Linked DNA regions of Bombyx mori. The protein of the gene in region 2 binds, or shares a complex with, the protein of the main gene of each other region. Links are inferred from orthologs where the notes say so. Each region holds a gene or a part of one and is shown on either strand. Other genes may lie near its edges.

Evidence for each region.
Region 1: F-box only protein 11 (region 2) and S-phase kinase-associated protein share a complex: the UniProt entries of both Homo sapiens proteins name them as parts of the SCF(FBXO11) complex. The link is inferred for Bombyx mori from reciprocal best matches to the Homo sapiens genes FBXO11 and SKP1.

Annotation. Positions count from the first base shown.
Region 1 is NC_085119.1:7,149,710-7,153,036, reverse strand, and holds S-phase kinase-associated protein, read right to left. Parts: upstream 1,925-3,327; 5' UTR 1,778-1,924; intron 1,687-1,777; coding exon 1,198-1,686; 3' UTR 518-1,197; downstream 1-517. UniProt on the Homo sapiens protein: Essential component of the SCF (SKP1-CUL1-F-box protein) ubiquitin ligase complex, which mediates the ubiquitination of proteins involved in cell cycle progression, signal transduction and transcription.
Region 2 is NC_085131.1:4,835,326-4,839,628, forward strand, and holds the start of F-box only protein 11, read right to left. Parts: upstream 2,803-4,303; 5' UTR 2,283-2,802; coding exon 2,186-2,282; exon of another isoform or gene 1,936-2,185; intron 1,068-1,935; exon of another isoform or gene 947-1,067; coding exon of another isoform or gene 883-946; intron 138-882; coding exon 1-137. UniProt on the Homo sapiens protein: Substrate recognition component of a SCF (SKP1-CUL1-F-box protein) E3 ubiquitin-protein ligase complex which mediates the ubiquitination and subsequent proteasomal degradation of target proteins, such as DTL/CDT2, BCL6, SNAI1 and PRDM1/BLIMP1.

The DNA.
Region 1 (3,327 bases), on a different chromosome or scaffold from region 2:
AAGCTTTAAAAGTAATTTTAATGACAAATATCTAAGAGGAAAAAATTGTTTCATATATATTATTTTCATTTGTTATGCTGATGGTTTAATTCTATCTTAGCATCAGGAACTGACTAAGGGAATGTGGTTATCAAATACATACATATACAGTGAAAATCTATTATAACAACATCGAAGGGACTGCTCATATTCAGTCGTAACAACCAGTGATGTTTAATGTGTATCGTGCAAGTACAAACAAAGTACAAACAAATCGATAGTGAATTATTGGAAAAATATATTTACACAAAACGCAATTTTTCTTTGTTATTAATTTGTTTTTTTTCTTTGCAACATTTTGAAAGTTTCACGAATAACTCCACAAAGTTTTGGTGTGTCTTGTGTATAGATAAGTAACAAACTAACTGAAAAGATATGAAGAAGTGGGCTTTGACTCTACCGCATACACATTTTTGTTTCTAAGAATTAGAAAAGACCCTACACTAAACAAAATCCTATTGTTTTCTTTCCTGATTTTAATAGCCATTGAAGACAAATGTGGATACCTATTCAAATTGTTTACAATACAGCTTAGCCGGTCGTTCTAACAGATCTAATTCTCCGAAATATTAGTTAAATGTGGTCATTTTATTAGGTATGTCGGTATTAGCAATGTCGTATAAAGCAATGTTTTTAATAAGGCGGTCATATAGCATTCAGCCGGGACCTTTGTTCTAGGTTATTATAACCAGCATGTTGCTCAAAATGATGTCGCAGTAAACGGTTGTGACTGTATATTTATTTACTTTTTGTATTGACATTGATGGTGACAAACTTATTTTTGTGGTTTAACATTGCAATGGATACTGGCAATTTCTGGACACAATCAAGACTACCCACACAATTAGTTAAAAAATAAGCAGATGACAAAAATTTAAGTCAGTGATTTATGCTAATTATTTCTATTTCATAAAGTAAATTTTCCAATAAATATAATACAATTAAAGTTAAATGAAAAGTAATTTAAATGATAATATGAAAATTTAAATTTTATTGAAAATCACAATGACATGATGTACCTATTTTTATATAATTTACAACACAAACAAATTTACTTGGTTTAAATTAATTATTCTTTATTGCCATGGGAAAAATAGTTTAATGTTGCATACATAGTGATAATACATAAAGATGCTTGCAAATAGCATTTATTATGGTTTACTTTTCTTCACACCATTCATTCTCTTTACGAACCTGATCTTCTTCTGCAGCAGTGAAATCATTCTTAATGTTGAACGTTTTACGGATTTCTTCAGGAGTCTTTCCTTTGATCATGTTTGCTACAGTTTTACATGTGACATCTAATAAACCCTTGATGTCCAAATAATTTGCAGCTAATATTAATTCAAAGAGTGTGCCTTGGTCAACTTTCAAAAAATCAGCATCCCATGATGATATGTCATCAGTCCTCTTTTCCTTGTTTTCGTCATCTTCTGGTAGCGGAGGATCGTCTTTATGATAAGTAGCCCACTGAATAACTTTTTTGAGTATTGCAGAATTGACATTAGGTAAAGGTACAACTTCCTCTTCATCCTCTTCCATGCCTAAGTCTTCTAGCATAGTTTTGATAGTTACGGAGCATTTGGCGATTTCAACATCAACAACGAAGACCTCGTTGTCTGATGATTGCAACTTAATATTTGGCATCTAGAACAAAAGAGCGGTGGGAACGTAAATCATAAAACGACGGCTGAGAATAAGACGCCATTTTCCAATTTATAAATAGCGAAGTATTTACCTTGTTTTTTCAAGTATTTGAATGTTCACAATTAAGTGAAATTTATTTATCTTCAAACGAAAATGCCCTTATGTTCTGGAGATTTTTCCTTAAACCCAAACAGTGAATCAATGAGTGAACGAATGAATAAAATCATTAATCAATTTTGTTTTTTTTTCTGCTTTCGTTTAAATTTTTCTAAGGGATTTTATGACCTGGTAACTAAGACCTTTAGGTCATGTCTTTTTTTAATTTATATTCAGATTTTTATAAATTTTTTATTATGGAGTGAAATGAAATGAAGATGATTAATTTGAGACATTAATCAACTGGGATGAAATTAAATGAAATGAGTTGATATGGTATGAAATATAATCTCAGTAAAATGGTGGTTATTTACTAAGATTTTTTCAGTGGACTTTTTGGAGGAACTCGAGAAGTTACGTCCAGCAGCTTTGTTTCATTTTCCCACTTTTGTGCACTTTCACAGATATTAAACATTTAATAAACCACCGTTATTACACATTTAAACCTGAAGAAACACTAAATAGACAAAATAAAACAAATCACACAACTTCACTCCTCGCGCTCCCGCCAAAAGTACCTCCAACACCAATTGTTTTTTAAGGGATTTTATGACCTCATAACTAAGACCTTTAAGTCATGTCTTATTTTAATTTATATTCTTATTTTTATGAAAAATGATAATATGGAGATAAATGAAATGAAATGAAGATGATTAATTTGAGAAATTAATCAACTTAGATGAAATTAAATGAAATTTGATGATATGGGATGAAATATGATCTCAGTAAAATGGTGGTCATTTACTGAGATTTTTTCAGTAGACTTTTTAGAGGAACCCGAGAACTTACGTCCAGCAGCTTTGTTTCATTTTCCCACTTTTGTGCACTTTCACAGATATTAAACAGTTAATAAGCCACCGTTATTACATATTTAAACCTGAAGAAACACTAAATAGACAAAATAAAACAAATCACACCACTTCACTCCTCGCGTTCCCGCCAAAAAGTCCCTCCAACACCAACATTCATTTCCCACCATAGATACACACTTAGTTTCCCACACAACTAAAAAAAAAAAGAAACTTGTGAATGGAGTAAAGAAGAAATCTAATATATAAAATTCTCGTGTCACAGTTTTCGTTGCCATACTCCTCCGAAACGGCTTGACCGATTTTGATGAAATTTTTTGTGCTTATCCGGTATCTATGAGAATCGGCCAACATATATTTTTCATCCCCCTAAATGTTAGGGGTAGTCCACCCCTAAATTTTTATTTTTATTTTTTAGACAAAATTTTTAATTTCTATTTTTTTATGATACAGCATACAAAAATACATACAACCCTAAATTTTCACCCCTCTACGATCAACCCTTATTTTTTATTTGCTAATTAAAAACTTTAAAATTGTTTGCGAGAATTTTGTTTTTATTTTGTCATGACGTAGAATAAAAAAATTCATATTACTCTGAAATTTTCAACCCTCTACGATCAACCCCTATTTTTTATTTGTTAATTATAAACTTTAATTTATTTGGCAAGATTTT
Region 2 (4,303 bases):
GCCGGCGGTGGTGGCGGGTGCAGCAGCAGGTACGGGTGGTGCTCCGCCCCCACCGCTTGGGCCAGCACACGCGGCCGTCGCCGCCATCGCACTGCCCGTGACGTTGTTGGGTATTGGAACTGACTCACATGGTTCACCTGAAAATAGTCATTGGATCTGTTTATATGACTAATTTTTTTATTAATCATTGACTATGGTTTGTAAGCCTAAAGGAAAAATATTCATGTACTAATTAATTGTATCAAAAGTTATTCTACTTGATTGAAATTATTTGTCAGTTTTTTTGTATATAACATTAGTGCAATATTCTTCACTTGAAAAAAATATGGATTTTACTCTAACCACAATTTAACTCCAAACACATTAACATGAATATCAATGTCAAATAAATCTGCTAAATCCTGATAAAGTAAGCTTGTTGTCATGAACAAACAAATTACTTATATTTAACAATTCTGTAATGTAGCTTTATGTAAAAAAATTTAAATTCCTTATTAGGGAAAATATTCATCACTTAAATATTGATAGTTTTGTTTAATATAAATTTATAAATCACTACTGTCCTTTTAAAGTTTCGTAACTAGAAATATTTATATTTTAGAAGTAGTATGCTTTAATTGAACTAAAATTTAACTTCAGTAATGTTTCATAGGAAATGTTCAATATTTATTTCTTAAGTCCTTTAATTACTTACTTCCTGTATTGATTAATAGTTTTTCTAATGAATTCTTATTGTAAAGGTCATCAATGTATAGCAGGCAGACTACTCATAGTCTTACTAGCTGTACTATAATCATTTATAAGACCAAATACTAAGTGATAGTGATTAGATTTTGATAATTGTAAACATGAACATTTTGTACTATTTCTTGTTTATTATACCTTTCTTAATAGGTTTGTTCTTCCTTCCTTTCCTTCTTGTACTTTTGTTCCGTGCTTTCGGCATTTTGTATGCCTTTTGTCAATTTTTAATGTGTAATTTAAAATTTATATAAAAGGAGACTACATCGAAAACCATTTTTTGCAGTTGGGTTATGATAATTTTGGTGTATCATTATGGCTTGCCACTGAAATGATCACCTAAATTTAAGAAAATTGATCAAAATGATTAATGTTTGTAAAGTGAGTACAAATGAAAAGTATCTTATTAGAATGAAATAGCTATCTTTGCACTATTTTTATGAATGGATAAAATTAGGAACATATGTAAATTAGTAATAAAGTTAAAATTTCAGATTATTCTTGAGTAATAACCTCACAGATACATGCCTTCATTTAGAAAGTAGTATTTGATTTGTTGCTAAAAATACAACCCTATCCTTGTATTGCATTATGAATATGTGAAACATAATAACTTTACATTTTAAATTAACTTTACCCCACGTTTTTTATATAGCTAGCTCAATATCTAATTAGTAACACTAATACATCTTATTTTCATTTATATTTACTTTCTTTGATTGATTCAATTACATTATCAATTGTGATAAAATCTTACAAAGCCTATTTATTACTGCAATCAAAATTGTGATATGTAAACACGCTTAACCATATTAAACCATTTCATATAGTAATTTTGACCAACATCTAACTTTGTATAGATAAACTTTTCGTAATAAATAACACATTGAGTTATGTTCCCACAGAATTTATAAATCTATTGTAAGTACTGCTTTTATTATTCATATAACATTTAATGTTAAATACCAAAGCAATACGAAGTGAAAATTAATTGTACTGCGTTAGGCTTCAGCGAAATTGCAATAGTTTCGTAATGCAAATCGAACACGCTCCGAAGATTTAAGCATGTACAAAACAGCTGTTTCATCATACGTTAAATATTTTTCATCTTGTAAATCAATATCTATAATGCGCAAAATGTCACCGAAATGCGCAGCTAATACTATCATGAAAATGGTTAGTAATGGAACTAACGATTAACACATCAATAATCTTAACAGGAACAACGATCGACGGCACTCAACTATTTCGAATTGAATAGCGTTTTCACTTGATTTTTTCACTTCACAAACAGTCCAGAATGTTGTTTTATTTCCTTTTATATAAAGCAAATACCTTTAAATATGGAAATATTCGATTACTATTGACATTTGACCACGGCGAGAACGACAATATAAAAGCTTTAGCTAAGTCTGGGCGACTTCGGTCGACCCGGATTACTTACTCGATTGTGTCCTAGAAGGTAGTGGTATTCGATGACCGCCTTTTCTCCGCGATCTACGTACGTAAGAACGCGAAGACGAAAACGAGGCACTAGGCATTATTTCTTTTATCACTTATATTCACTAAAATTCAGGTCTAAACAAAGGAGACACCCGCACCAACACCGTCGGCCATTTTCTGTTTAGATTAGATCGAGTAGACGAAACGGGAAATGTAGATTAAGCACCATTAGCAGAACTAGGGAGACGCAAAAAACGGTTTTCAGAATAAAACAGTAAGCACTACAATAAAATTTATTGTATATTTCTATTTGAAATCATTATTTCGTTATTATTCTCAATAAATTCACACCACCCTCAAGCAACGGGCCGATTCTCAGCAAATATGGCGGATCTCGGGAGTCAATATGGCGACGACGTTTACAGCGACACCTATAACAAAACTTTTCGAGCTGTAATGTTCAGAGTATTCAGACGTTCGAGCCGGTCCAGTGAATTTCTGGCTGACAATATTTGCTGACCTATTGTATTGAAACCACTTTATTTATAATAATAATAATAATCATTTTTACTCAATTTTCAGATTACCTGCATCATTAGCTGCTAGACAAATTAAGATAATGTGATAAATATGTTGACGAGTAGGCTTATCAATGAGAGTCCAACCTCTAATCTCCATATTCTCTAACCTCGAATCTTAACTGACGGTAGGGCCTCTCGTAAGCACGCACAGGCAGATAGATACCACCACTCGCTTATTTTATAACTTGTGATAGGGTGTCCTGTGAGCTCGCATGGGTAGGTGGGTACCACCACCCTGCCTATTTCTATCGTGAAGCAGTAATGCGTTTCGGTTTATAGACTTTGAAGGGGAAGGGAAGGGTAGCCGTTGTACTTTTTTTCTTACTTATATGGGTAGACGAGCTCTCATACTACCTGCTATTAAGTGGTCACCGAGGCCAAAGATATCAAAAACGTAAATGCTACCCACCTTAAGACAAGAGTTCTAAGGTCTTAATTTTAACAGTATTGTAAAAACTGAGCTGTGAGGTCGTCCATCCAACATAGCAATAAAAAAATAAAAGAGCAATGGCAGTGATTAACATGTAATGTGTAATCAATATAGGCTCCAATAACACTAGTTTACAGCATCTTGTACTAATTGTGTCTCTAATTGTGGTCAGTGAGACCTTTTGTTCAGTTACTGCTTTCAAAAAGTATTGACGCAATCTTAGTGTTATATCATTTCAAACAATATTCTGTTGTAGTAGTTACACACAATTTAGGGATTCGTCTATTCAGATACTTTATTAAACATATAGTTTATGTATGACCTAAAATAATATTTTAAGTGTCCAGGCACCGAGAATGAGATAGACAGCATGCTGGGACTACTTGTACTTGGGAAAACTTTTTCAAATATTAGAATTGTACATAGTAAAAATACTATAGCTTACCATACCACAGTTAACTAGTAATGAGCTTTGATCAAAGAGTATTTTTATTTTTTCCCTACCTAATCGCTGGTAGCCTAAGGGGATATTCCAGCAATGCTCGGACGGGAAGGTGAGCTCGTGGGCTCAATTTGAGAGAATTGGTAACACTAGAGCACACACACAAGAGCAGCGCTTCGCTGAATCTACCACTGGATCGGAATCGCGCCCCATGGAGAAGATCTGGTGAGAAATTCAGTGGATATGTCTGTGGGCTCTGCTGCACGTCGAACTCTTTGTTGTATTTCACATTTGACGAGTCCGACGAAGACTGTGACCGATGCCGGTGCTTGAATTTTGAAGAGCCTAAAAATTCCGAGAGGTGATCCGGGGGATCCGACGAGATACGTTTAGGGGGACGATGGCTTTGCGTTTCCTCGTCGCCTCGGTTATGTAAAACAGGAAAGCCTTTAAGAGCTCAGCGGTTAAGTTAGTGCATATTTATAATATTTTTAACAACTTATAATATTCCTTTGCAAATGGAATGTCATGTCATGTTTATACACTGAAGTATGAAACCTATAAAGGTCTGTGTTTATATGTCAAAATGTCAATTGTCAACAAATCCAAACGAGAAAAATAAATTAAAAAATGCTTTTGGTATTTTCGTACGCAATACGTTTTAAT